Linked DNA regions of Neurospora crassa OR74A. The protein of the gene in region 5 interacts with the protein of the main gene of each other region in a pairwise test. Links are inferred from orthologs where the notes say so. Each region holds a gene or a part of one and is shown on either strand. Other genes may lie near its edges.

Region 1 (3,881 bases), on a different chromosome or scaffold from region 5:
ACTTTACGCAGCAAGCGAACCAGCAGGCGGCGGTCAATGATGCGGATGCGTACTTTGCGCAGCAGATGAGGCAGATGCAGATACAGCAGCCCGGCGACAGTTTTGGTGGGGATGCGGGACATTATGGGTATGGACAGGGGTACGTGGTCAGTCAGAGCTCGGCGTACCAGCCGGGGATGGGGGGGATGAATGGCATGGGAGGGATGAATGGGGCTCAGGGGGATTTGTTGTTGTGAGGGAGTGTGGTGTGAGGGGTGCCTAGCTCCGAATGGAAAGGGGGGATGGGATGGGAAGGGGTAAGAGTGGGAAGAGAGGAGAGACAAGGTAGTAATGTAATAGACAGACTAGGAGTTGGGGAAGCGTGGTGAGTGTGTGATTTGGTAGGGTGGTGGGAAAAGATATCCAGTTAGGGTTTTTGGTTGTAGATAATGCGAATAACAAGTAATATCCCGTCACTACGTATGTTCTGGTGTGTTAATGGGCGAGTGTGAAGACATTCATGTAATGTCATCTCACTACAAGACTTGAAAGACAAAAACGCGAGCATAGGACCACTTTGAATGTTCCAACCTTTTATTGCACTGAAGACCAAGTGAGAAAACCGTAAACGCCAATATACACATGACAAACGTACTACTAACAAAAACCAAAAGGGAATATTTTGTAGAAGGAAAAACAATTACCAAACAAATCCGAATATGTATATGTCCGTAAAGCCCCAAAACTTAAACCCAGCCGAGCCGCTTCAAGCCAGATTGAAATCCTTGAAAGTCCACTTCTCCGTGACCTTTGTCTTGGCCTGCTTTTTGAAGGGAATGTGCCTCCTCGCCTCCACCTTGCCTCTAAGCAACATATTCCTGTACCTGTCTTTCAACAAGTTACCCTCCGGCTTGAGCAACCTCAGCGAATCCTGCAGCTCATCCGGCAAGACCAGCTCCAGATCCTTCTCGGGCAACTTGAACTTGCCTAGTTGCCTACGGCGCAGCTCGACGTCGTCATCTTCTTCAAGGCTAGCATCGTCCTCTTCGACATTGTTGGATTCGGCTTTTTGGAGAGCAAGCTGCCTCTCCTTCTCGGCCAGTTCCTTGGCAATCTGCTTGACCCGCGCGGCCTCGGCCTCCCTCTTCTTGATGGCCGCCTCGTGCTTCAGACGCTGCTCCTCGGCCTTGCGGCGCTTGATCTTGTTGCGCTGGGCTTGCGTCTTGCGCTCCGGCCGCTTCTTCTTGTTGGCCAACCCTTCCGCGTCGCTCTCGGCCCCTTCCCAGGCGGAATCATCCTCCCATTCCGACAGCTCGGCGCGCTTCTCGGCGGCCTCGGCCTCGGCGCGCGACTTGGCGGCCGCTTCGGCCTTGAGACGCTCCTTCTCGAGTTCCTCCAGCCGCTTCCGTTCGGCCTCCTCGGCCTTGCGCAGCTCCTCCTGGTAGCGCTCCGAGTAGTCGGTGAAGGCGGGGTTGTACGACTTGTCGCCCTTGGGCTTGGGAACGGCGGGGAGCTGCTTGCCGGTGGCGGCGAGGGAGATGGGTTGTTGTGTGAGCGTCTTGGGCGCCTTGGGCTTCTCGACCTTGGGCAAAAAGTTGAACGTTTCCGCGGCCTGCTGCTTCTTTTTCTGCTCTTCCTCTGGGTCGGCCCAGGCGTCAAAGGTGGCGTCAACGACCTCAACCGTGGTGGTGTGGTGGCCGTCGGCAACGCGCTTCAGGCGACTGAGCTCCTTTTGGGTGACGTAGGTGGCCCGCAGGCGCTTGGAGGGCAGGACGCCGTCGGTGACCTTGCCGGAGGTTTCAGAAGCCGGGCGCTTCTTGAGGGAGACGGCGGGAACGGCGGAGCGCTGGGCGAGGATCTCGTCGGCCTTCAAGGGCTTCTTGAGTTGCTTGGGGAGCTTCTTGGTGATTTCGGTGTCGGGCTTGACGTCGATGGCGAAGAGTTCTTCGGAGGTCTTCTCGGCAATGACACCACTGTTATACGATAATTCATGTTAACCAATTGGTGTCTTTGGTAATACAAAGCATCACAGAAGGAGCGCCGTACCCCTTGATAATCTGGGCGTTCAACTCATCGAGACCCTGCTCGACCTCTGTCACGTCGACATTCTTCCTCCACGCCTTCTTGCCCTTTCTCGACGGTTGGTTGTATTGCTTGGGGGCTTCGGGATTGCCCGACAAGGGTTTTAGGACGGGCATTTTGGATATGTGATGTGATGGTGTGTTGTGTTGTTGGGTTGACGACTCGAAGAAATCAAACGAGTCGGCGGAGGTTCGAGGCAGATAAGAAATTGGAAATATTGATACCTCGAAACCGCCTGGAATTCTGGGGTCTCCTCTGCAATCAATCCGACTGCCCAGTGGGGTGTGCAACTCAAAATTTCAGCGGCGACAGGAGGCAGCGATAAGATAAGAAAGACCTGCCCGAGACAGGACAGGGAAGAGCAACTTCATGGAACACAAGCGTCCAGCGCTTCAGTTCCCTTCCCCAGCCGTGCTCAGCTGGCAGTTGGAGCAATTAGCCAATCAGACTTCCAAGCTGCCTCGGCCTCTGGACAAATCCAATGACGGCCGCCAAGCTTCCATTGGATGCCCGGTCTCGGTCGTTTTGGTCAAGTGAAGTGTCGAATTTGTCTGGGCGCAGAAAGGCGGCGGGCGGCCACTGTTTCCCTCCACTGATCGCTTGGCGCGGTCCCCTTTCTCTCGCATGAGTCCGCTTCGGGGAAGAAGACTGAATAATAGTCGCAAGAAACACTTTGTTGTTCGAACTTGAGGTTATGCATAAACAATGGATAAAAACATGTAAACTTGTACATACGTACATACGGAATGTCGGTCAATCAATTAATCTGTATCCAAACAAAATATTAAATGTTCAAGTATTTTCTGCTCTCTGTGGTATCAACTCTTATAAAACGATCTCTCGACCCGATTTTTGTTTGGTAAACGAAGACTCGACGGACTGCAAAGACCCCAGCAACCAAGTCGGCAACGAGACCCCGACTGGATCCCAAACACCGACCCGATTGTCCTCCAAGCTCCCTTGTCATCCACCCCCCGGCCACCACGCCCCGTCCGTCGCACCACTGAGACCACTCAACGCTGCATGATCAGTCTCCGGCAACTCTCCGCCGCCGTCCATCTTCCACTTCGACGACCAGCAGACACCTATCTAACTCTAGACCAACTCCGACCGCCTACACTACTAAGCTTTCTGCCACTTAACCACCACCACCTCCTCCAAAGTCCGAAAGCTTCCTCCCCTTGATCGTGTTTCCGAATACCTTCAGCTACCTACCTACCTACCTACCTACCTACCCCGCCAAATACCGTTAATCCGCAAACACATCCATCACAATGGCGCAAGCAGGCGGGTCATACAACAACCCCTTGAAGAAATTCAAGTAAGACAACATACCCGACACTTTTGCAGACAATGCACTTAAGTCAAATGGAAGACAAAACAAGACAAGATGCTAACCACTCTTTCTCCTCGCCAGGTTGGTCTTCTTGGGCGAACAAAGCGGTATGCGATTACCTCAACCTACAACACTTTCTCCACGATGTTCTCCGAGACACCAATGCTAACTCAACGATTGCGCGCAAACAGTCGGCAAGACGTCGCTCATCACACGCTTCATGTACGACTCGTTCGATAACATGTACCAAGCCACCATTGGTATCGATTTCCTTTCCAAGGCATGTTCGACCCCCGTCTCCCATTCAATTCTTTACCGCCCTTCCTTCCCAGACAGACAATGCGCGACAGTTGCAAAGACCCAAGAACTAGTAGAACAAGATGAGAGCCTTTGGCTAACTTTACGGGGGGGAAAAAGACCATGTACCTCGAAGACCGAACAGTCCGCCTACAGCTCTGGGACACAGCCGGCCAGGAGCGTTTCC
Region 2 (4,024 bases), on a different chromosome or scaffold from region 5:
ATGAGAGCCGCACGCTTACACCAACAAGGGAAATGAGAAAGACACTCCATGAATCGATATGACGATCGTCATCAGACAGCAAAAGATTTTTCACCTCACCAATTAAACTCGCATGAGGCTGAGGGGAAGCTACGGACATGCCTCGGTTTAATGTACAGCCGCCATGGTTCGGCAAGTCTGACCCGACTCGGTGAGACAGAGCTAGAGCAGAAAATAGAAAAGATGAAAAGAAAAGAAAAATGATGCAAAGGTCAGGATGGTCGGCTGAATGGAGGTCGAGGAGGGAAAACAGCTGATGGCCAACTGAAAGTTGGAAATGTCTTGGGAAGGTGCAGTGGAGGAGGCTCATTCTCCAAGTGTTATCACATAACAAATGCGACCGCCTGCTTTTAGATCTCCAAAGAAACTGAAGTAATACCACATTCCACTGTGATCATGATGGGTTTGGTCGACAAAAGTACCCGTTGGTATGGTGGTGGCTTTGTGTCTGCCAGCCGCCATTGAAATCACTTTCACAGCCATAAACTCGTAGATATCCAGAATCGTTTCAACAATAATAATTCTATGCCAAAGCTAACGTGTATACTCTCCAACAACCTACACCTAGAGTCTCGTAGACATAACAAGACAATCCCTTCCGACATCACCCTTTCACCAGCTATTTGATACTTTTGATGCTCTTCTCCAGTTCCTTCACACTCTCCCTCACCTTGGGGCAGTAATGTCTCCTCAACAGCTCGCCCTCCCACACCGTCGACGCGAATGGGTTGCTACCCTCCACTGTCGCCGCAAGTGGCTTATAAGTGCCGTCGCCCTTCCTCTCCTCCGTATTCCAGAGCGAGCTGATCTTCCTGCCGTGCGTGTGGAGCACGTCGGCGAGCAAGCCGAGAAGCGCCTGGGCTGACTTCTCCGGCACCTGGAGCGATCCGGACATGAGCTGCTTCGTGAAGGCGGCCAGACGGAGCGGCGCCACGGAGCGGATGTTCCAGGGCGGCAAGAGGATGCCGCTGAGACACTTGACGAGCAGGACGGTGGTGGTCTGCAAATTGATGCGGTTGTTGCGGCGCACGCTGTTTTGGAGCTGGAGCGACTGGGCGCCGAGTTCAAGATCCGGGTTAACGGAGAGAGAGAGGAGGGACTGGAAGAGGTGGGTGATGAAGAAGGAGAGATCGAGGTGAAGGTCCGAGCGGGCGTTATGGGCGTCTTGGCCCTCGAGAAGAGCAAAGGCGGTGACGGTGCAGAGGAGGGCTTCGCGGCTGGTGTCACGAACGAATTCGTGCTCGTCGTCTTCATCCTCTTCCTCTTCCTTGTTCTCGTCGTCCGACTCGTCCTCCTTGTTGGCGTCCTTTTCACTGTAGCGGATCAGGTCTTTTAGGGCCTCAAGGAGATCACCAAAAAAGTCCTGGTTAATCAGGTGGGAGTATCTGGCGAGACCTTCAAGACAGGCACCCATGAGGTTGGGAATACGCATCTTGAGGATGCGGAAGTACGAGGCGAAAACCATCTTGAGCGTTTCGGACTGCATCCGCTCTCGCTCCTCGTAGCTCACAGCTGCGTCGGCGTGGGCCATGACCTTTTCAGCCTCCTTCTGCTCCTTAAGAAGCTTGCGCTCACGCTTGGTGCGGAACTCCTTCTTCTGCTTCGGCTTCTTGACCGACCCATCGTCCTGCTTCTCCACCGTGTCTCTGGAAGCTTTTCCGGAAAACTCGCTAAGCAAACGCAGGTGGAGGAACAGGTTCAGGATGCTCTCGTCAACCTGGTAGTTACGAGCCTTCATCATCTTTGTGAGTACTGAAATGGCCTCCATGGCGGGTTGACCATCCTCATCCTCGTGAAACAGGGTCTCGAGAGCGGTCCGGCACTTGATAAAGTCTTTATCGATATTTCTGTAGCTCAGCTTCTTGATGAGAATCTTGAGAAGCTCACCGCGGAAGTTGAAGTGCGGTACTGCGTTCAAAAGGGTGCAGGCGCAGGTAAGGGCGATGCTGGAAATGGGCTGCTTGGACTTGTCGCGAATCGATCCACCGGCGAGGGCAGCAAGGGTCTTGATGTATTGGTAGTAGCCGGTCACCATGGCCTGTTCATAGACGCGTAGCCGCTTGACATCCTTGGACAGCTTCTCTTTGGCAACATCCTCCGAAGCCGGTCTTATCCTGTAGCCGGGAATGACATCCTTGTAGACGGTCATCTGGACAACAATGGCGAGCTTCTTGATGGCGAGAAGGTCCGACTCTCCAATCTTGGCGAGCGCCTTGAAAGCACCCGGATGCTCCTCTGGGTCTTCATTGAGCTGCGTTGCGATCTTGGCCATTTCCTCCTGGGCTCTCCTGATCTGTTCACGCTCGGGAATCTTGGGTGCTTCTGGCTCGGGCTGAGCCTCCTCCTCCTCAGGGGCCTCCTCCCCTTCACTCTCCAACCACTCGGCATCGCTCGCAATCTCGGCGTCTTCCTCTTCCTGCGTCACCCAGGTTCCCTCGGCAACTCTGATGGGCAGTTTCGTGGCATCGGCGACCTTCTTCTCCTTCTTCTTCTTTCCTTTCCTGGGGCGGTTCTCATAGTCCTCCTCGAGGTTCCAGCTCTGTGCACTCTTGAAGAACTGCTTTTGAATTTTGACGTCGCTGGTTGCTGCGCCGTCCGAGGACTGGCCTCCCTCGGTCAGCTTCCTCCGCTTGGAAGGATGGGAAGACATGGTGGTGGCTGGTGATGGTCTGTGCAGTTGGAGGGTTGTGAGATGATGTGAAGTGAACCTGAAACACTGAGTGTGGGCGGCTGATCGATGTGTGCTGAAGACAGACTGAAGTGAGACGGGAGCGAGCGGTGTTCTGGAGTGGAGATGGATGGGTATCGATTGTTTGTTCTTCACTGAGATGAGGAACCGCTCAGGAACATTTTCCAAACTTTTTGGACCCTGGCTGCCAAAGCTGGGGGTCTTATCGGCGGGATGTGGTTGGTTTAGCTTTCTTATCGGACCCCACCGCTTGGGGAAAAAAAAGTTGCTGAACCATGAACGGCCATCGATTGACTGCACTTTGAGTTTTGCGGTCGAGTTCAGTTGCTTGCGCTGGAGCTTCGAGTGGCCGCACCTCCTCCTCCAAGTTTGAATTCCCTTTCCTTCCATCCATCCAAATAGGAACCCACCGACGGGGCACTCTCCGAAAACATCAACCTCGTCGCAGCAAAGAGAGACCGCGGCACCTAATCTCTTTCTCGACCACTGTACACACATCCAACCTCCCGTAATCCCAGTCTCTACCCCACGATACACAATCGAGACTGCACTCTTCCCCGTCTCCCACCACGCGCCGAAAGGCCGATCGAATTCCCACTTTGCGACGCGATCGAAATATCGACGTCGACTCTCCTTGACGATAGTACCATACGATAACCATAAAGCCGAATCGTAGAAACCAACACCCAACCATGTCGTCTTTGGCCTCCCAGTTGGCCCAGATCGCTGCCAACTCGCGGTCGACCCTCAACACCAAGGTCCTCAAGGCCGCCCACTCCAAGTCCCTGATCTTCGAGCCCCGCGTTGCCGCTACCCAGACATACCCCGAGATCTACTCGATATGCCTCGAAGGCTTTGAGGAGCTGTGCAACCTTGATTCGCGCTTCACCAAGTTCACCCAGTCGCTATGGAGCCCACAAAGCCAGGAGGCCGACAGGACACAGATGAGCGCCGCTGAGAATGCCGCCCTCGATAAGCATGTCGAGGCCTTCCTCCACCTGTGCGGCAGCAGGTTGCGTCTCATGCCCACCATCAAGGCCATCGAGTGGTTGATCCGCCGGTTCCGCGTTCATGAGTTCAACACGGCTGCTCTCATCGCGACCTTCCTCCCATACCATACCATCCCGGCCTTTGTGACCTTGTTGTCCATCCTGCCCGCCAACATCCCCAAGGAGTACCGCTTCCTCGACCCCTACATCCGCTCTCTGACCGCGCCCCCTCGCGCCGCCATTGTTCAGCAAGCGACGAACCGCCCCGAGCTGCTTACCGCCATCTCCCAGTACACTCTTGACTCTT
Region 3 (4,143 bases), on a different chromosome or scaffold from region 5:
GGCGATGGGCACCTTGACTGGGTGAAGAAGAAGCGAGAGACGACCTAGGCGAGCAGTCGTCAGGCTTAGTGGGACGATAAACCGGGATGGCGGTACCCAAATGACTTGATGTTTGGGAAGAGCTCCTCTTCATGTCTCAAGCTCGGTCCTGTCCATTGAATGGTAGAAACCGCTGCGGCGTCTAAGTTGGTCGATCGTAACGCACAATGCCTAGTTTGGCGGCAGTCGGGAGTCGCGGCGGCTATGATGATAGTGAAAGATACAATGACGATACCTATTGAGAGATGGAAGCAGAGCGGGGAGGTGGGAAGACGTGGATGGACTTTGTCAGTGTGTTGAAATACGACAAGGTGCAGTGAGAGAGGACGACTCGGAGTAAGGTAGCTCCATACCTATGCATCACCTGAACTACCTACCCATTAGATGTGCCTCCCTTGCCCCAGGTCAACAACACTGACCTCTTGAGGCACAGACAGGGCAGGTACGACTTCAATTCTGAAGAAAGCCAGTGTTTGTAGCCAACTGTCACGCTTTCCTGGAAGTTATTACCGTCCGTCAATCAAAGACACTTTCCTCGACATCTCGAAACATCCAAGTTTGCCAAGTCCGAGTCGAGTGTAGGTAACGTAGAAATGTTGCGCCTTTGCAATTGATAGACGCAATATAGAATAGATCGTGCCCCATGAACGATGTACAACCCAAAGTACAGAAAGAAATCCAGACCCAATACTTTTGACATTATGCTGTTGAAATGACATTCCCACTTCCTTGACCAAACCCAACATGAGCGCAAGGAAATATGTGCTGACCAAAGAAATCCCAAGACTTGCTAGCCATAGAACACGAAAGGTTGTGGATGACAACCGCCATAGAAATCGCGACGCTAGCCAAAGCCTTCCTACCCCACGCTTCGAAACGTCACAATCTACTTGATCTCAAGGAGCTTGACGTCGAAGATCAAAGTGCTGTTGGGGGGGATGCCGGGAAGGGCACGGCTGCCGTAGGCAAGGTGCGCGGGGATGGTGAGACGACGCTCACCACCGACAGCCATGCCAGCAACACCGATGTCCCAACCCTTGATCACCTCACCCTTGCCGAGCTTGAAAGAGAACGGGGCACCCTTCTTGTTGGCTGTATTGAATATTAGTCTCTAGTCAATACTGTGAGAGTGATGGAAAAGTGAGACTTACAGTCGAAGACCTTGCCGTTCTGGAGCTTTCCGATGTAGCGCATGCCAACACGGTCACCGTTCTTGGCGGCACGGCCGGTGCCAACCTTCCTGTCATCAATGGTGACGCCCTGGACAACCTTGACGGTAGAGGTAGGCTTCTTGTTCTCAAGCTTGTCCTTGGCAGGGCCAGTAGGGCCCTGCTCGAGGTTCTTGGCGAACTGGACCTTCTTGTCGGACTTGGTCTCCTTCTTAGGCTCCTCCTTCTTGGCCTCCTCAACCTTCTGCTTCTTCTGTTGCTTCTTGCTGAGCTTCTTGTCGTCCTTGGAGATCATGGCATCGAGACCCTCGGCATCGTCCTCGGCGGGGCGCTTCTTGCCCTTCTTGCTGGTGTCGACAAGCTTGGGAGCCTCCTCCTCCTCGTCTTCCGAGGTGATCTCCTTGACACGGGGGGTGCCATCGAGCTCGTCGAGCTCGTCGCTCATATCGTCGGAATCGTCATCCTCGCCACCAAGGGGAAAGTCGTAATCCTCGTCGTCGGACTCATCCTCATCATCCTCGCTGTCCTCCTCGTCATCCTCGGGAACAACGAAGTTACCGGTGAGATAGACAGAGTGGGTACCCTGGACACAGAAGAAGACCTTCTCACCCTCGCCGATGGTGATGTTGATGGGCTGCTGGTAGTTCTGTATATGGGGAATCAGGTTAGCTCCAAGAACTCAAAAATACGTTCACCGAATGGATGGGGCTTCTTACGCGCTCAGTGTCAAGGGTGCAGACAACGTAGTCCTCAAGCTGGAGGTCATCATCGCCGCAGCAGTCGCTCTCCTCGTCGCTCTCCTCCTCGTCGGACTCGCTGGCCTTGCCCTTGCCCTTGCCCTTCTTGCCGTTGGGCTTGGCATCCTCCATCTCCTCATCAGACTCCTCCTGGGTAGCAGCCATAAGCTTCTTGATGGCAGCCTCCTGCTTGGCCTTCTTGGACTTGGAAGGGTCGCTGGGACCACCGTTGGCCTCGTCGTCAGAGTCGCCGCCGCCGAGGAGGGACTGGAGGTACTCATCCTCCTCCTCATCATCGTCGTCATGGTCGTGGCCAGTGGCCTTGATGATCTTCAGGGTCGAGCGGGGGAGCGCGGGAATGTTGCCTTGGCCGTCAGCCTCAGGAGCCTTGGTGGGATCGAGGGCGGCCATGGTGATGTGAATCTGGAATTCATGTCGTTAGCTCCGTGTAACCCAGTCCAGTGGAGCGCCATTGCCTGCGAAGGAGAGGGCCAAAGGCTCCGAAAAGTGTGCACTTACGATAGCAGGGAACTCAGAGGCGGCGGGAATGAGGATCTCGCCAGGAGGAACCTCCAAGCCAAAAACGGCGACAGGCATAAGGGGGGCCATTGTGAAGATTGGGTGGTGCTTTGCGCCGGGGTATCAAAAAGTCTAGATTTTAAAGAAAACTAAAGAGACAGGAACTCGAAGTCGTCGTCGGAAGTATACACTTCTAAGATTGAAAGAAGATGAATGGGCTGGGTAGAAAAAGTCTGAAGATGGATGCGACCAGTTTGACTTGGGAAAGGCAGAAAATGCGATCGAGGACGAGGGCGGTCGACAGGAAAAGTTCAGGCGAACTGCACTTGGAATCCAGAAAAATTTCGGCACCCCACCGTCTGTACTGTCTGTTACTGTAGCGATAAGACTTCCTTATCGGTTCACTGCCACTCTCCCGCTCCCCAAGCCAAGCTAGCAAGGGTATGTCGGTCAATGCAGGCCGGTCTGCTAACAAAAGCGGGGAAGAGTTCGACAAGCTCCGCGCTAACGTCGTGCGCGGACGCTTGATGTGCCTAGAGCTGGCATGGGAACCTTGCGACGACGGGATGTTCAAACTGCAACTCGTCATCACCGACTCGAGGTTTGAAGGTGGTCGCCGCGGGACTGCAATCTTTTGCCATCTGCAGGATTCATTGGTGCCAGAGCAAAGTGCATCAGGTGGGAGGTATAAGAATGAACACCATGCACCACAGGTACATGTCTGGAGTCTCCCGGCGATGCCATCCCACATCACATCGGTCCCCCAGGCTCACGGTTCACTCCACCTGAGTGAGAGGATTCACCAACGAAAGCATTTCTGAGGGATTCAAAGCAAGATTAGGTAAGCCCCTGGCTGAACCTTCAGGCACACCTTGATAACCCAGCATGCCACAGTCATCCCATCATCAACGCAATCGTCTCTAGATCTTGTCTCGATTTTCATATCTCTGCGGCCTCTCATCCACCTTAACGAGCTTCAATCCCGACTTAGCCACTGGGCCCGGGAAGTGACGGCTCTGCCTCGCGTAAGCCGCAACGAGATCATTGCCGTTGGTTACGCCTCCTATAGTATTCATCGAATGTCGGCCCAGTCTTCTGGGCCTAGTCAGGAAGGGATGAAAACAAACCACTAGAATAAGCCAAAGATTCCCATCCCCCACCCACCTCAACTTCTCCGCCACCCGAATAACGTCCTGGTCCTCGAATCTCGTCCGCAGATCTCCTTGCAACTCTCGCGGTCCACAGGCTTGCTTGCTTTTGAGTATCCCGGCCGCACCGCAGAGGTAGATGGCTGAGTAGACGCTTAGGATGTCTGTCATTTTCGTCTGGTTGTTACTGGTGTTGTTCGCATGCCCTGCCAGCCACGACAGAGCGGCTGGGCCCTCTTAGAGGTCAAGCTAAGGATTCCGGTCCCGGAATCAAGACGATGTCAAGCTTTCCTGGTGCCACTTCAAAGCGGATGTCTATGGAGGCTATCAGAGGGATTGGGTGATAAATAGTTGGACTCTGCTGATGTTTTTTGTGTCGTTTTGGGGGGGGGGGGGGGGGGGGGGGGGGGGGTAGTCAGCTATCATTATCACTTCCTCTAGCGGTAGGTTTGTTGACCGCGGATCATCAATTGGAACCATTGAATATTGCACTGAACTATGTAATAGAAGATCTCCACACTAGGCGCCAAC
Region 4 (4,052 bases), on a different chromosome or scaffold from region 5:
CCCTGCTCTCCTCTCCCAACAGTTCCTTACGAACAACCGAACCAACCCAGGTCTTCACAATTCAGTCCATTTCTCCACCCCATCCTTCCAATTAACCCAGCTCTCCTTCGCAACCTTCCACTTCCTCACCACCTACCTGACCGTCTTCCTCCTCTCGCGACCTCCCCTCTCGCTCTTTGTCCTCGCTCCATCTCTCCCCGAGACACTCCCCTCAGCGTGGCCATGTCCCTCGATGTGATCCTTCCTCATTGGCTAATAGCTTTTAATTCTGTAACCTTCTACCAAATCGCTTGGATCTTGCTCACGCCAATCGTGGCGTGACGAATCACGTTCTCTACCACTCCGTCTTACCCGAGAGAGCCATGTTGGCTTTGGTCCCAGCTTGTCGTGTGCGGGGTGTGGATAGTCAGTCATTATGATATCCTATCTTTTACCTCTTTCAACCAAAACCGTACCTGGTTCAGCAACAGATCAAACCCAAAAGCAAGTCGAAATCATAACCCTCTAGGGCATCCTCTTCTCACTTCTCGGCATCCTCGGCTCGTCCCTCTACACCATCTGGATCGCCCACTATCACCGCAACTCGGCGGCATCTCCAGCTTCTCTTGCCGATGATACTGAGCAGAATGGCTGAGATTTCGTTGCTGGGTTAGATATCCAGTGGCTATGCTCAAGGAGGAAGCCAAGAAGGCTGGTCATAAATCGTAGAAAGGGAGAGGAAACCGGCGGTACATGCACAGAAAATAGGTAGTCTTGAAGTACAGTCATAGTGACCTGATGTTGATGAATCATGCCTTCCTCCCAAACCCTTTTGTGAACCGATAACGCCACATACACACTTTGAACAAGACAAATACTCTCCAGTGCCAACAGAGACGATGGCATACTGAAAGAAGGGTATCACCAATACTACTATCATGATCAGCCCCCTTAGAGGTTGAAGCGCGTGCGAACCTTCTCCATCTTGGCCTTCCACTCCCACTTCAAAGCATCCTCTCCTTCGCTGCCAGCCCGACCGATACCCTTATCCACTCTACGAAGCTTGAGAGTGAATCCTATCAAAACAAGTCAGCCACTTTCGGTTCATTCGCCAAAACTTTTGTTTTCCGCGGTAGCAAGACTTACTGGGTCCAATCTCCTGCAAACCAGCACGGATACCCTGCATACCCTCCATCTCCTTGCCCTCCGCAGTAACCACGTTCTTCTCCGTCGTGCGGGCCTCGCGGAAGACGTAGCGGTGGCGGCGAAAGAAGATGTAATCACGCTGGTTGTGCAATGTCACGACCTGGCGACCCGAAAGCTCGGGCCTGGGAGGGAACATGGTGTGCATGGATTTAGCGGCGAGGATACCGAGAGGGGTCTTGAATCCATTGAGGAGAAGCTCGGGCTGTATTTTTTTTTTGGTTGCAATGCTTAGTCTCAATGTCCTGTAATTAATGGACTTGGGGATTAGGATGGACGGCTTACGTAGTGGTTTGTAGGGTTACCGTGGCCAAGGAGAGCCTTTCCAGGCAGGTAGTTCCGGATGGTGTATGTCAACGAAGGACCAGGGGCAACATCTTCGCCGTTGAGATGGATGACGGTCAGGGAGCTAGGCTTCTTGAGATCTTCGCCGACAATCATGAGAATCGTGTATCCACGGTCTGTAACAATTCAGGCCTGTGTTAGCAATTTTCTCTTGGGCAACAAAACTCCAACCTGGGTGCGCTACTCACTCTTGGCAAACTTTGCGATCTCGCGAACACTATACTTGTGTCCATACGCGTGCGCACTGCGTCTGATGTACGTGCTGTTGGGAAAGATGGCAGCAATGTCCTCCGCCTCCTTGTGAATGGTGCCGTTCAAATGGGTGGTGACCAGAATCTTGGGGTCGACTGGGGGTTCCTCGTTGAAGAGATTGGGAAATTGTCGTGTGAGCGAGTCGGGAGTCATGTCTAGATTTGTCGACGTGGTCGAGGGAGCGATGCTGGGTTTCCTCTGCGCACGCTCCTGTCTGAGTCTCTCGATGCGCTCCTCGGCATCTTCGTCGTCGTCGTCACCCTCCTCGTCCGAGTCCAACATAGAATCGGCATCGTCGTCCTTCTCCTCATCCTCCTCCGTGACTCCATCGGCTAGCCTGGCGGCCTCGGCCTCCTCCTTCTCCAAGCGCCTCCTCTTGAGCTCGGCAACATCCACAGCGACGCCCAGGCTGTCGTCGTCAACGTCATCCCACACGCGTTTCCTCTCAATGGTCAAGGGTTGGTTGTTTGCGAGGCGCTCTTCTCTGAGTTTGGGATCCTTGGCCTCCTCCTTCCTCCGGCGGTGACGCTCCTCATGGCGTTCCTTTCCCTGCTCCTTCTTTTGCTTGACGTATAATTGCTTTCTGACAATCTTGTTGGAGGTCTTGAGCGACAGCGATCCGCCGGAGCGGTTTTTGCCCTTGTTACCGGACGGCATATCGGCTACGATGTGGTAACACGGCGGTGGGATTAGTGGTTGTCGCGGTGTCAAAATTGTAGGGTAGGATCAATTCTCCAGGTCACAGTTCAAACTTCGACGTGATGCTGGGCAGTTGTTGCTACCTCTACCTGACGGATGAATTGAACGGGCCCGGTAAACTTTCAACTTTTTTTCTGGGCCCAGAGCCATCAAGGGCGCCAAGACGTGCATCTACAAGGGTACCCCAACAGCTAACGCACGGCCTCAGCCGGGGACAGGTACGTACCGCTACCCCTCAGTGTACACTACTACCTGACTGTCACCTGCACAGGATGACTCCATCCCGTCCCTTGCTGTAAGTTGGGACGGAAGCAGAATTTTTGGGATGAAGAACGGCGGCATCACGGACTCTTGATAATCAAATATCAATACCTCTAGCCGATGAAAAGTCACAATAACGCTAGCCAGCGGAATGCGCTTTCTGTAAGGGAGTTACTTAGGTAGGTAGAGGTAGTGTACAGTAGCATGTGCAGTTCCACTTCCTGATATGGCTGGTGGATTCCAGCGAGTCGAGCCTTCTGTCGCGTACCGCGCCGCCACTGACGGCGGCTCGAGAGCGGGAATCTGGACCGCTGTCCCTTGGCTTAGGTTGTCTGGGTCGTTGGTGCCGGCCCCTCCATGGCGCCCCTCTACCCCCCCAAAGAAAAAAATCATCCCGCGATTCGGTTGAAGTACGTGTTTCAATTGAAAAGGCCTCGACGAAACCTCAGTGGGCGACCGTGACTCACTTGGTTCCCTTGAGCACTGTAACAAGACCAATTCATGCGACCTCTTGCCCGTCTCGCCTCCCTCCGTTCTCCTGTTGCTGGTCAAGCATTCAAATCGACCTTATCCACCCGAGCCGTCGCCAGTCGAACTTCTTGGACCCCGGCGCCCATCCCGCGGATCTCTTCGACTTCGCTCCGATCCTTCTCCCTCTCTACCTCGCACCATCGCTTCCAAGTCTACGTCAAAAAACAAAACACCAAGATGACCTCGACGGCCACCACCCTCAAGGGCCAGCCCCTCGACAAGGGCGCTCTCGAGTCCATGCTGCGCCGCCGCATGTTCTTTGCGCCCTCCTTCGATATCTACGGCGGTGTTGCTGGCCTCTACGACTATGGCCCGCCCGGTTGTGCCCTCCAGGCCAACATCATCGACATCTGGCGCAAGCACTTTGTCCTCGAGGAGGACATGCTCGAGGTTGACTGCACCGCCCTGACCCCCCACGATGTTCTCAAGACCTCCGGCCACGTCGACAAGTTCGCCGACTGGATGTGCAAGGACCCCAAGAACGGCGACATTCTGCGCGCCGACCACTTCGTCGAGGACGTTCTCGAGGCCCGCCTCAAGGGCGACAAGGAGGCTCGCGGCCAGAAGGTAGAGGACAAGGAGGAGGACCCTAAGCGCAAGAAGAAGAAGGCCAAGGGTACCGAGGCTGTCAAGCTCGAGGACGCCGTCGTCAAGGAGTACGAGGAGATCCTCGCCCAGATCGACAACTACAACGGCGAGCAGCTCGGCGAGCTCATCAAGAAGTACGACTTGAAGAACCCCGCCACCGGTGTCCAGCCTGAGCCTCCCGTGGCCTTCAACCT
Region 5 (4,195 bases):
TGCTGGACACGACGTCTATTTCTTCTTGGAAATCCTCTTCATCGCCCTCAACTCCTTCTTCATACGAGGATCCACCATCTTGTACCTGCCCTTGACTATAAAATTGAAAAAACCGAGTTAGCATCATTCCAACATAAAGAACACACCAGATCTTAAGGTAGTGATAGTACGAACCTCCTTTAGGTCTGCCCTGGAGACCCTTGTTGGAACCAGCAGCCTTGACAACCTTGATAGGCGCCCTCCTCGTCTTCTTAGCAACCGACGCCATGAGCTTCGAAATGCTAGCAGCCTTTTCCTTTTCTGACATGCCATCGTCACCGGCAAGCATATCGGCCTTCTTCTTGAGCTTCTCCAGCCTCTGGGCCTGCTTGAACTTCTTCCTGGCCTTGGCCTCGGCCACCTTCTTGATAGGACGGGCGTTGTAGGCCCGGAGCTTCTCCTTAATGGCCTGCGCTGCGGCCTTGGTGATGGGCTTGTGCGGCTTGTCGTGCTTGGACTCGTCGTCAAGGAACCAGTCGGGAAGACCGTCGCGGTCCTTGAAGGCGTGCTTGGTGTAACCGTCGTCGATGACGTCGTAACTTGTCTTCTCGCCGGTCGCGAGCTGGTGGGCGAGGGTCATGGCCTCGGCGGTGATGATGTCGATGTCTGTAGTTGTCATAGTCAGCCATTGCCCTTAACAGGTCATACTGAAGAGGGACTGAGTGAAACTTACCAGGCCTGCCGTTCTTCTTCTTCTTCTCAACGTTCTCCCAGTCGTCATCCTCGTTGTTCTTGACAACCTCGAAATCGTCGTCGTCATCGCTCTCCTCGGCCGCCTTCTTGCTCTTGGCCTTGGTTTCCTTGGCTTCCTTCTTCTCCTTCTTGGTAACCTTGAGGTCCTCCACAGCCTCAACAAGCTCAGCCTCCTGAGCCTCCTCCTCCTCAGATTCTGGCTCCTCCAAAAGTCCTGGTATCTCCGCAAAGATACCTTGACTGAAGAAGTTCTTGGCCCGCTTGGACAGACCATCCTTCTCTTCTGGCTGGCCGTCTAGATCTGTTATAAGTTTCTTGCCAGATTCACCATCCTCTGAGTCGGAATCATCATCACTGCTGTCCACTTCTAGTTCCTCATCGTCATCGTCGTCGCTACCCTTCTCCTCATCGCCAGATACGCCTTCCCATTCATCGTCGCCGTTCTCTTTCCTGGCCTTCTTGGCACGGTACTTGGCATCGGCCGCCGCCTTCCGCTCCCGGTACTGATCGTACAGGTTGTCGAGCTCTTCCTCCAGACGATCGGCCTCCTCGTCGCTCTCGTCGGTTTCGCCGTCGGAGCCAAAGTCGTAATCCTTCGGTTTCTCGGTCTCTTTGATAACGGCCATCTTGCCCTTGGCGATCTTATTCAGGGCAGCGTTCTGGTCGATAGTCTTGAGACGGAACATGGCACCCTCACCACGGGGACCTTCCTGCTCCACACCAATATCCATGGGCGCAGTCATGTTCATCTGCATGCGGACAATCTCCTTTTGCTTCTTCTCATTCTCGCGCCTCCTCTCGCGCTTCTTCTTGGAGGTCTCCTTCTCCTTGATCCTTTGCAGCTCCTCCTGGATCCTAAGCTCCTCATCCATGTTCTCCACTACCGCAACCTCCTCGTCCACAGCTGCCTTCTGGGTCTTCTTGGAGGGGAAGCCGAAGATCTCCCGTACTTTTAGACGCCATTTTAAGAGAAGCTTGAACTCTTTCCTGCCGAGCACTTTGAGATCGGCGCAGCAGAGACGGATTTCTTCGGTCGTTTCGGGGAGCTTGTCGAGGGCAGCCAATGCTACATCGCCGTTCTTGGGTTGCTCAAAGCTGAGTTTGTTGTACTGGCCGAGAATGGCGATGGGATCGACAGTGTTGATGAACTCGCTGGCAGAGATCTCCTTGAACTGGGTGTAGTCTCCCTCCTCATAACCCTCTCTCTTTCTCTTCTTGACTTCGGGGTTGTACACCTTGGCTTCGTTGTTGGGGGCGGGGCCGGCCACATCCTCGAAAACGGAGCGGGGGTCGAGAAGCTTGGGGTCAATGCGCTTGGGGGCCTTGAAGCCGCGGCAGACGACGAAGATTTCGGCGGAGACGTTACGGGACGAAGGGGGCTTCGTAGCCTCGACCTTGGCGAAAAGCTGGTTGCAAACCCAGAGAAGGGAGTTGTAGTCCTTGGATCTGAACACCTTGGTGACGAACGTACCGCCCTCAATAAGGAACTCGGTGGCCAGCTTTAGCGAGTGCAGGGCAAGTTCGGCCTGGTTGTACGAATCCTGGACCCAAGCAGTACCGACGTTGGGCGCACCATCGTGAAGAACGACGTCGGCCTTCCATGTCTTGAGATGGGAGCGGATGGTTGCGCGACACTTTTCGGTGGTGATATCGCTCTGGAAGGTAATGACCTTGGGGATGGGCTTGATGGGAGCAAGATCGACACCGATGATGATGGAGTTTGTCGGCATAGTCTCGGCGCAGACTTGACACCACGACTAGGGACGGACACAGACATGGTTAGTTCACTCCATGATAAACTGGATGTTCACGACTATGACTTACACCGGGCGCAGCGCAAAGATCGAGAGCGACCTTGCTTTTCTCGAGGAATCCATACTTCTTGTTGAGCTGGATCAGCTTGAAGGCGGCACGGGCACGATAACCCTTCTCCTTGGCAAGCTTGTACCACTTGTCAAGACGGCCCTTGCCGTGTTTCTTTTGGATCGCCATGGTGCCGGTGCTCTAAGTCGGGGGGTGTTTCCGACTGGTGTTGTTGAGCAGGACGACCTGGTGACTTTTTTGGGTTGGTGAAAATGGCAGTCCGGGTGCCCTTTGACTGTTCTTCCCTCCAGCACTCGCAGCGCAGGGATTGCAGGGTCGTCGTTGCAGAATGATTTTTTTGGATGACAGCTGCAGGGCGATAAGCGATAAGAGACTGGACTCCGGCGGCTGGTGGGGCAACGAGCAAGACGGGCCCCATCAGGGTGGGCCAGACATCCCGCGGTTGAAGTGCAGTGCATTGACCAATCTTCATGTCTTCAGCAACCGCGATTTATGGGACGAAAAAGCCATTAAGCTTTCGCGATGCAGCGCGTCATTTGTTCCCGCGTCTTCGCGTTCCCCTGATGGAGCACTAAACCGCATTCCTTCTAGGCGCCTCCCCCCCGACCCCCGGCCGCTACGGACCGCACGCCCAGCCTCTGCCCACTGGAGGAGGTGTTCAATGGAGTCCATGGGTGGTCAGGCCAGGTCAGGTCAGGTTTCCATGGCTGTCGATTTGGTTGCCCGGCAAACCTAGGTACTCAAGTGGGAACTCAGCAAAAGCGTAGGTACTTCTAGGAACTGAACCACGCAAGGGAAATCCACAACAGAAACGAACAACCAAATCCAATTCCATCACATCTCCACCTACGCATTCAATTTCAAGTCCATACTACCAAGGACACACTTACACCAGAAACCGACATAGACATACCCCTTCCGGCCGCACCACTTCACTCAGAGGACCCATACTACTACGACCAAATCCGCCAACCAATAAACTCGGCGCCAATACCTTACGCCCCCCCCGGCCGCCTACCTTGTCTCTCAACGACGACCTCGACCTCCCGTCCTTCTTCAAGCTCAGCCTGCTTGCTGCACACAGCCTAGCCTGCAACTTCGACGTCAGCCCTTGTCCAATATCCAGTCGACACTTGCCAGCAATACCTCTGCGCCAGCTGTTGCTCAACTGATTCTGTACAAATATCCATCACCACAGCCTGTTCTCTGTCTCCGCGTACCCTTGCCATCGGCGGCCCCTCGCTGCCAGGTCGCGCGCATCCAGCGTCGCCGGCCCCGTGTACATCGTCTCTAGGTATCGTGTTGCATAAGCGGCCTGGACCCAGCTCTTCGCTCTGGTAGTCGAAGAGAATCCTTTCGCCATGGCCGATAACTCCAACAGCACTTCAACCCCTTTGGGAGTTAAGAGCTCGTCGTCGTTGAACACCAGCAACAACATTCCCCCCATTCCGTCCTCTCCTCCTCCGCGAAGCGCAGCCAAGGAACGTCGAAACCCGTCCATCACCCCCCGGAAATTCAGGCGCTTCTTTACTCCCCGAGTCATAGCGAATAACCACCCCAGCGCTTCCCAAAGAGCTCTTCGTGATCTAGCCGGTCCTCTCATAGAACGATCTCATACTCCATCCAGTCCTCTCAGGCC
Region 6 (4,189 bases), on a different chromosome or scaffold from region 5:
ACTCTTGCCCTGGAATATTCAATAGCGCGGGACTTGCCTATTTACCCTACACAGCTCACCCACAATTCCACGAGACATCATGTAGAAAGTTGGTATGGTGCACTTGAAGGCTTTACACGTTGTTTCTTTTTTATTTTCTTTCAATGTGGCCGTGTTGTTAATTTTTGTATTGTTTGCGATTCCCTGTCGCAAGAACCACGGAGCCAGGCTTAACAGTCGTTCCACGGTTATACTGCAATTTCAGACAACTACATATGTACCTAGTTCTGGGCGCCAAGGCTCTTCCTCCACATTCCCGTCATTGCGAAGTATCACGCGGTTGGGGACAGTCCGTTGAGATACCTTCATATGCGATGACTGCATTACAGCCTATCCTATCCTATCCATACATGCGCGCGTCATGAATCGAAGGCTTCTGTTCACTTTCGAATTCTGCCCCTTTTCTTGAAGCTTGAAAATCCACGGGCCGCGCCGGATGAAACGCGCGCACCCGCACCACGCCGGCTGCTGCCCGTTGGCTCTATACCAGCAAACAACCCTAAACATCAGGCAAATGGCCTAGCACTTATTTCTTCCCCTTCCCTTGAACCTTCCACTTCGAAGCCCTCGCAGCAGCACGACCAGTCTTCTTCTTACCACCACCCGCATTCGGCGCCTTGTTCTTCTTGGCGCCCTTGAACTTGAGATCCTTAGGTTTTCCGTCTGCCGCACTAGCACGCTTACCCTCGAGAATGAAACTCTCGGGGGACTTGTAGGCGCCCGGGACTCTGGGACCGGTCGCCTCCGTGTTGGCGCCCGAGGCGTGATTCCTCCTTTGGTTGGCCTGGTATCTGTCCTGCTTGTTGAAAGTCTTCTTCTTGTCGGAGCCGATGACCTGTCTGGCAGTGAACTTGCCGAGGAGCTTCTCAGCGCGGCCGGCGATGGTCTTGGCTTCGGCGGAGATCTTGGGGGCGTAGTCGGATTTCTTGGAGCCAGGACCCTTCTTCCCGTTGTTGCCTTTCTTCATAGTTTCCGGAACGGCACCCTGCGCCTTGAGCTTCTTGGCTTCGATGGCACGCAGGGTCTTGTGAGGGGCCTTGCAGCGGCTGACGCGTAGCTCGCGGGGGAGCATGGGCGGGAATTTCTTGCCGTTGAGGAGGATGGCTGACTCGACGGCGTTTTCATCCTACGGAGGGGGAACAGAGTTGTTAGTTGATAACGGGCAAGTAAGAGACAGAGAGAAGTGATAACTCACGCAGAACTGAACGTAGGCGAAGCCCTTGCCGACACGGGTGACAGGGTCGCGGACCACACGAACGCTCTCAACTTTGCCGCCCTCTTTACCGAATACCCGCCAGAGACCTTCCTCAACGTCCATAGGCTGCTTTGTCCGCTTCTTCTTCTCGGTCACCTCCTTACCGTCTTCGTCTACCTTCACTTGCAGTACTGTCTCGTCATCCACAAAACCAAGGTTACCGACGAAGACGCAGCGCTTGTGGTCTACCGGGGCAGGATGGGCAACGCTGTCGACACGGATGTGGCGATCCAACACGATTGTGCCGTTGAGTTTCGAGCAGGCAAGACGAGCGGCCGCAGGGGTACTGTAGACAACATAGGCGTTTGTCGACTTCGTAGTGGCCTCCATCACGGACTTCTTGATATAAGCGGCACGCTTGGGAATGGCAGCGGTAGCGAAGGCAGTCGAGCGGAACCGTATCGACTCAACCTTTTGCGCAGGTTTCGCCTCCTTGTCCAACACTGAAGCCATATGCTTCATCAAGGCCTTTTTGGCCGAACGAGAGGTGACGGCCTCGACGGCGACATTGCTGAGGAAGACGGTGCGGTTGGCCTTCTCAATCTCGTTCTGGGCAGCATCGGGCGCTAGCGATTCGTGAACGGGGACCTCATCCGCAGACTCGCTGTCGTCGTCGTCCTTCTTCTCGGCCTTGGCGGTATCCTTCTTTTCTCCGGATTGCTCGTCGGCCTTGAGACGCTTGCCAGCCGGCTCTTCATCGTCCTCCGCCAACTTGGACAGGTATTTGTGTTCGAGATTGTCGTGCTGGTCGGGTTGCTTCCGCTTCCGTTTCGGTCCATCTTCTTCCGGGACCTTTCCTTGTTCTACAACAACTTCGAGGGTCGCGACGGCTTCGTCTTCGCTGTCACTGTTGTCTTCAGCCTCGTCGTCTTCGTCATCCTCTCCAATGCCGACCTCGGAATCGTATTCTTCGTCAAGCTCGCTCAGTTCCTCGTCATCGCCCTCGTCCTGAACGTCTTCCTCTTTCTTGGAAGGTACTGGCGCCTTCTTGGACTTTGTCGGTAGGGGCTCGGAGTATTTTGCAGCTGGGCGGGGCTTCGCTGGACCAACCTACACAAGATTAGCCATGTAAACTTCCAATTGCCTGTCTGGTCAGAGCGAGATGACTTACACTGGTAGCAAACAAAGCATCCAAGCTAGGATCAACCTTCTTCACCGGCGCAACGAGTCCTTTACTATAATAGTGGTGTCAGAATACTGGAAGAATGGCGTTGACTGTAGCGTAGGGCTGTTCGCACGTTTTACCCATTGTGAGTTTTCCGTCGTGTGTAAGCGCAATGGATGGGAAAGTGGCACGATTCGCCAATCAAGCACTTGTGATTGACTTAGTTCTAAGAGCACGGAAAAACAACTGAAGTTCGACGACGAGGCGAAAGATGTGATTGGCTGTAAATGCTGTCAAAATCGAATTGCAAAGCTTCCACTTCTGATTTCTAGCAGGATGTTGTACAAGGCAAGACCAGTTTCTATGCAGGCAGGTTCAATGGTCCAGGGTTTCAAAGGGTCGTCGTTTCTACCTTCCCCACTGCGCATCGTAAGGACGAGTCGAGGACCGTGGAACATCTTGCATCCTCCCATTAAAAAAAAAAACTCGCTTATCAGTTGTTATCAAAGCTGCCAAGACTCACCGCCTGCCATCGCCTTTGTGTGGTGCGCTGGGCTGTTGGAGACGGGCGGCGGCGGCAGGCAAGCGGGCAGGCAATGGAGCCCCCCAGAAACCTGCCGGTTGCCCATTTGTGTTGCGTGCTGGTGCGGTGCTGTGGGCGCTTGTCCAGCTCCCAGTCTAGGTCGTCAACCAGATACCTACTGCCCGCTCCTCACTCTCCCGATCTGTCTTCCTACTACTTTACCTACCCAGACCGCACGTTATCTCTTGACAATCGCGCCCTCGTACCGACAACAAAGCCATATCTCCGAGACATTTCATTGTGTGCGAGCACACATTTTAACCTTCCGGCATAAACACACTTTACCCTGATCGTGGCGCCACAACTTCAGGTGCTGCTCTTGAGCTGCCCGTACAGTTCGGACGTCCAGTCCGCCGTCCACGACTAAATTCTACGTGGCCGTCCAACTTTCCACTGCTCAGCTGCTCAACCCAACATTGGCGCGTCGTTGCTTAGTTTCAATCTCGTCGGATTCTATGATCCGCGATGGCTACCGGTGACACCGCGCTGTCCTTGGCTCTCTCGAGCCCCCCTCCGCCTCTGCTCCAACACAGCCCTAGCGATGTGTCAAGCCCACTTAGTGACGTGGAAGACAAGCATGGAGATCCTGACGACATGGATTTGGACATGAACAGTAACCACTCTCAACATCGCGAGACATCGGTCCGAACTGACAATCGCGATGGCGTCGACTCGGACCTTGGCGCTGAGACTGACGACGAGAGCAAGCTGTCGGACGTGGATATTAATGACTCCGAGGCAGAGACAGAGAGGCTCTACGACACACCACCGAAAGATCGAGTATCGCGCGACATCGTAGACACCGCGGGTGAGCCTGGCACTCGACAATTCACCGACCGCCGCGATCGGACGTTCGAGCGCAGCCCTAGCAAGCTTCAGCAGCAAATCAAATCTGATTACGAACCGGAAAACACTGCCAGCGGGCGAAACACTCCCTCAGAAGAAGCAGAAGTGGGTGACGAAGAGGCCTCGGAAGACCTGAGTGACGAAGAGCCTGAATTTGCTGCCAAACTACCACCTGCGCGATCTCCCGTGCTGGCGAAGAAAGTACAAATAGTTTCCGCCTCGCCTGAAAAGATCCTCACACTATCACCCCGACATGATATCCTAAAGCGGAAACGCTCCTCAGTCACCGAGCAACAAGATCTCAGCCAACCGTTCAAAAGGCGGACTGAGTCAAATACCTTTCCCGAAAAGCTCTCAGCCG
Region 7 (3,172 bases), about 1.6 Mb from region 5:
ATCTTCTCCTTTTCCCTCAAGAGTGCAGTTTGAAACCCCCATGAGTATAGAGCTGACAAATTACTAGATCGCTGTTGAGGAGGCCATTCCCTACCAAGAGATCAAGCAGAACCCCTACACGGTACTTTGCCTCACGTCTCTCGGCGGACATCTTTCATGGTTCGAACTTGGTGGCGGACGATGGCATACTCGTCCTGTAAGTTTCTTTTTGCCTCACTTTCCGGTAACTTTTTGCTGATTTGTTGTCTAGATCTGCAACTTCCTGAACAAGATGGCTTTCGATATTGACTTGGACGCCATCAAGCCGGATGCTTGTGACAAGTTCGATAGCCAGTTCAGAACTCACTTCGACCCTGTGCAGCGAAAGTTGCAGATTCTCGATGTGGATCAATAGATGGTGGTGGAATGAACACTTGAAAAGAACGAAGACTGTACATAGATTAGCTATAGAGATGGGTCCATCGATTGGGCCTAAAGGGTCTAGACGCGCTTCAAGGCACATTGGGGCTGCACATAGACTTAGATTCGCGCTTTCGACTTGGATACAGGTTCGAACGTACGTTCATTGATGGCTTATGCGAGCCACGAACTACACCATCCTGACGGTTTCACCTAATAACATCTACCGACTCATGAGAAAAAGAGGCTGGACCAAGGCTGGCGTGCCCAATTGGTATCTTTAATTTCCACACACAAAATCAGTCAGAACTGTTCCCCCAGCCAAGCCATCCTACCCGCCGCCAGACTTTGATTGATATAAACGCCCAGACGCCATACATGCGAAGAAAAAATGCTTGGTGTAGGTATTACACGACAAACTTCCACCCTTCCTGTCTTCATTCTCCCAGCCCATTCCCAGGAGGGACCTTCAAAGCTCCCAGCATCCTTGCTTGATTATTTATTCGGGAGCAGCGAAGGATACCGACTTCTTCTTTTTCGACTTAACGGCTTTCGTGCCCGCAGACGAGAACTCCTTGACATCTCTGGAGTCATCGTCGTCGTCGCCCTTGCTACCGCCCGATTGCTTGCTGCGCTTACGCTTCTTGCGCAGCGAGTCCTTAGTCTCTTCGAGTCTGGCCTTGCGCTCAGCCTCCTTCTTCTCGGCTTCAGCGCGTCTCGCCTCGCGGATCTCCTCCATTTGTCGCGCCTTGATCATCTTGGACTCGATCTGGCCCTCCTTTTCTGCTTGTACGATGGCTAGGATAGTGGCCATGCTCTCCTGTACAAAGGGGGAAAACATGTCAGTTACTTGATGCTTTCCGGTCTTGAAACCTAGCAAGAAAACAAAAAACCAATATGACCCCAGACGCTAACGAAAGACAGCTTACCTTGTCATCCACAAACACCTTGCCCTTCTTCTTTCCCTTTGGCTTGGTCACACCAACGGGGGTGATCATGTTGAGTTCCGGAATCGCAAGCTCCTTTTCGCTGTAGGTCTTCTTCTTCTTCTTCCTGGCGATAAGCTCCTGGATGTTCGGTCGGCCCTTGCTGGCAGTCACGAGAGTGTGAGCTTTGCCCTTCGGCTTTCCCTTGGACTTGAGCACTCCATCGTTCCTCGACCTCTCCGCATCTTTGCTGCCCTTGATGCCGGATTTGTTCGCAGCGTGCTTGTTCTTTATCGTTTTTGTCGGCGCCATTGTGAGTTGTGGTTGATTCGTTGATAAGGTCGTAAGAAATCAACGATAGATGAAATGGTGGTTCGGGATATGGATGGGTGGATGGAGTACGAATACTCTCGAATGTATCCTGTACGCTGTCGCTTCAGTTCGGTCGACTTCTGGGGAAAATTTTGGGACCGGAATTGGTCCCTGCCTTATCTTATCGCGGTTAATCCAAGGTACCTCTAGAGCTTGTGCATATAGCACTGTATCAACGCCTGCTGAGCGCGGTTACGGGGCAGTGGGGTCTGTCAGCTCGCCGTGGGGCTGCCTTGAAATCTCTAATTGGCAGCTGGGGATCGGCAGGCGAGCAGGAAACTCTAGTTTCCTTCTAGTGTAAGCGCGGGGTTGGCAGCACTAGTGGAGGTACCTATTCCATATCGATTGCCTATCGGTGCGTTCCCTCACTGGTGGCACTCCGAAATCGCCAAAATTTCCAAGATCACCTTTATTGTCGCCATCCTTACATCGCAATTGATCACACTGCCGTGGTGATATCCCAAGAGTCTACAGTCCCCAGAAGTCTCAGACGCCCTATTCAGACAAAATGAGCACCGAACAGCCCGCGCCCCGCTGGGCCGCCTTTGCACGCGACACCAACGAGACCAAGATCCAGATCGCACTCAACCTTGATGGCGGCGCATTCCCTCCCGAGACCGACGCCCGCTTGAACGTCAGTATCGCCGACGGCCATGCCACTCAGGCTAGCAAATCGCAAACTATCAGCGTCAATACCGGCATTGGTTTCCTTGACCACATGCTCCATGCGCTTGCCAAGCATGCCGGCTGGAGTCTTGCGCTTGCTTGCAAGGGCGACCTTCACAGTTAGTAGACACACTTGGCTTGGGCGCAGAAGTCCTCGTGGAACAACATCCAGAACTCTGAATTGACTTTGTCCCTCTCATAGTCGACGACCACCATACCGCCGAAGACGTCTGCATCGCTCTTGGTTACGCCTTTGCCAAGGCTCTCGGCACACCCACCGGCCTCGCGCGCTTCGGATCCGCATACTGCCCTCTCGACGAGGCCCTCAGCCGTGCCGTCGTCGATCTGTCGAACCGTCCCTTTGCCGTTGTCGACCTCGGTCTTAAGCGCGAGAAGATTGGCGATCTCAGCACCGAGATGATCCCCCACTGTATCCATAGCTTTGCCGGGGCTGCCCGCATTACCGTGCACGTCGACTGCCTCCGCGGCGACAACGACCACCACAGAGCTGAGAGCGCATTCAAGGCGCTTGCGGTTGCCACGAGGCAGGCTACTAGCCGGGTGGCGGGTCGCGAGGGTGAAGTTCCTAGCACCAAGGGAACGCTCAGCGTATAAGGAAGTGGGAAGGGAGTTAGTTATAGGTTTGGATATAGAAGTGCAATGATACCATGTGATGTCGTTTACCGTGGTACTTTGCGCGCATGTTCGGCTGCCATCATTTCGCTATAGCGACGGCGTAGAGTTGAAGTGAAGAATGGAAAACCAGATACATGTTGCGAATTGGCGAATGTATACCTAGGGAATTTACC

Evidence for each region.
Region 1: the proteins of NCU03669 (region 5) and NCU05233 interact in binary tests that used the Saccharomyces cerevisiae proteins (3 or more experiments, as listed by UniProt). The link is inferred for Neurospora crassa OR74A from reciprocal best matches to the Saccharomyces cerevisiae genes SPB1 and NOP53.
Region 2: the proteins of NCU03669 (region 5) and NCU00337 interact in binary tests that used the Saccharomyces cerevisiae proteins (3 or more experiments, as listed by UniProt). The link is inferred for Neurospora crassa OR74A from reciprocal best matches to the Saccharomyces cerevisiae genes SPB1 and NOC3.
Region 3: the proteins of NCU03669 (region 5) and fkr-4 interact in binary tests that used the Saccharomyces cerevisiae proteins (3 or more experiments, as listed by UniProt). The link is inferred for Neurospora crassa OR74A from reciprocal best matches to the Saccharomyces cerevisiae genes SPB1 and FPR3.
Region 4: the proteins of NCU03669 (region 5) and NCU00404 interact in binary tests that used the Saccharomyces cerevisiae proteins (3 or more experiments, as listed by UniProt). The link is inferred for Neurospora crassa OR74A from reciprocal best matches to the Saccharomyces cerevisiae genes SPB1 and RPF1.
Region 6: the proteins of NCU03669 (region 5) and NCU09131 interact in binary tests that used the Saccharomyces cerevisiae proteins (3 or more experiments, as listed by UniProt). The link is inferred for Neurospora crassa OR74A from reciprocal best matches to the Saccharomyces cerevisiae genes SPB1 and NOP12.
Region 7: the proteins of NCU03669 (region 5) and NCU01301 interact in binary tests that used the Saccharomyces cerevisiae proteins (3 or more experiments, as listed by UniProt). The link is inferred for Neurospora crassa OR74A from reciprocal best matches to the Saccharomyces cerevisiae genes SPB1 and LOC1.

The regions. Positions count from the first base shown.
Region 1 is NC_026504.1:5,668,335-5,672,215, reverse strand, and holds NCU05233 (60S ribosome subunit biogenesis protein NOP53), read right to left. Parts: upstream 2,410-3,881; 5' UTR 2,178-2,409; coding exon 2,026-2,177; intron 1,953-2,025; coding exon 746-1,952; 3' UTR 559-745; downstream 1-558. Other genes in the region: NCU05232 (AP-2 complex subunit beta), read left to right, coding at 1-236; NCU05234 (GTP-binding protein ryh1), read left to right, coding at 3,336-3,382, 3,479-3,504, 3,589-3,677, 3,815-3,881. UniProt on the Saccharomyces cerevisiae protein: Late-acting factor in the nuclear maturation of 60S ribosomal subunits, which is required for normal acquisition of export competence. Required for the export of the large subunit.
Region 2 is NC_026503.1:3,495,640-3,499,663, reverse strand, and holds NCU00337 (nuclear export protein Noc3), read right to left. Parts: upstream 2,855-4,024; 5' UTR 2,690-2,854; coding exon 659-2,689; 3' UTR 529-658; downstream 1-528. Other genes in the region: NCU00336 (U3 small nucleolar RNA-associated protein 10), read left to right, coding at 3,421-4,024. UniProt on the Saccharomyces cerevisiae protein: Required for synthesis of 60S ribosomal subunits and the transport of pre-ribosomes from the nucleoplasm to the cytoplasm. Also required for initiation of DNA replication.
Region 3 is NC_026501.1:5,029,305-5,033,447, reverse strand, and holds fkr-4 (FK506-binding protein 4), read right to left. Parts: upstream 2,814-4,143; 5' UTR 2,555-2,813; coding exon 2,465-2,554; intron 2,369-2,464; coding exon 1,925-2,368; intron 1,855-1,924; coding exon 1,191-1,854; intron 1,132-1,190; coding exon 926-1,131; 3' UTR 286-925; downstream 1-285. Other genes in the region: NCU16390 (hypothetical protein), read right to left, coding at 3,385-3,565, 3,629-3,783. UniProt on the Saccharomyces cerevisiae protein: Proline isomerase that belongs to an abundant class of enzymes that catalyze the cis-trans isomerization of X-Pro peptide bonds and can accelerate the refolding of proline-containing polypeptides. Specifically binds nuclear localization sequences.
Region 4 is NC_026503.1:3,739,811-3,743,862, forward strand, and holds NCU00404 (RNA processing factor 1), read right to left. Parts: upstream 2,575-4,052; 5' UTR 2,437-2,574; coding exon 1,716-2,436; intron 1,644-1,715; coding exon 1,468-1,643; intron 1,388-1,467; coding exon 1,126-1,387; intron 1,056-1,125; coding exon 931-1,055; 3' UTR 561-930; downstream 1-560. Other genes in the region: NCU00405 (glycyl-tRNA synthetase 1), read left to right, coding at 3,241-4,052. UniProt on the Saccharomyces cerevisiae protein: Essential protein. Required for biogenesis of the 60S ribosomal subunit.
Region 5 is NC_026505.1:2,021,357-2,025,551, reverse strand, and holds the start of NCU03669 (AdoMet-dependent rRNA methyltransferase spb1), read right to left. Parts: upstream 2,868-4,195; 5' UTR 2,725-2,867; coding exon 2,557-2,724; intron 2,490-2,556; coding exon 713-2,489; intron 646-712; coding exon 175-645; intron 96-174; coding exon 16-95; 3' UTR 1-15. Other genes in the region: NCU03668 (WD domain-containing protein), read left to right, coding at 3,918-4,195. UniProt on the Saccharomyces cerevisiae protein: Required for proper assembly of pre-ribosomal particles during the biogenesis of the 60S ribosomal subunit. Specifically methylates the guanosine in position 2922 of the 25S rRNA at the stage of 27S pre-rRNA maturation.
Region 6 is NC_026501.1:5,442,220-5,446,408, reverse strand, and holds NCU09131 (nucleolar protein 12), read right to left. Parts: upstream 2,846-4,189; 5' UTR 2,544-2,845; coding exon 2,533-2,543; intron 2,470-2,532; coding exon 2,406-2,469; intron 2,345-2,405; coding exon 1,235-2,344; intron 1,166-1,234; coding exon 566-1,165; 3' UTR 110-565; downstream 1-109. Other genes in the region: NCU09130 (hypothetical protein), read left to right, coding at 3,448-4,189.
Region 7 is NC_026505.1:3,571,661-3,574,832, reverse strand, and holds NCU01301 (60S ribosomal subunit assembly/export protein loc-1), read right to left. Parts: upstream 1,767-3,172; 5' UTR 1,638-1,766; coding exon 1,329-1,637; intron 1,220-1,328; coding exon 899-1,219; 3' UTR 552-898; downstream 1-551. Other genes in the region: NCU01302 (hydrolase), read left to right, coding at 68-196, 251-394; NCU01300 (imidazoleglycerol-phosphate dehydratase), read left to right, coding at 2,206-2,482, 2,566-2,978. UniProt on the Saccharomyces cerevisiae protein: Required for efficient assembly and nuclear export of the 60S ribosomal subunit. Involved in asymmetric localization of ASH1 mRNA.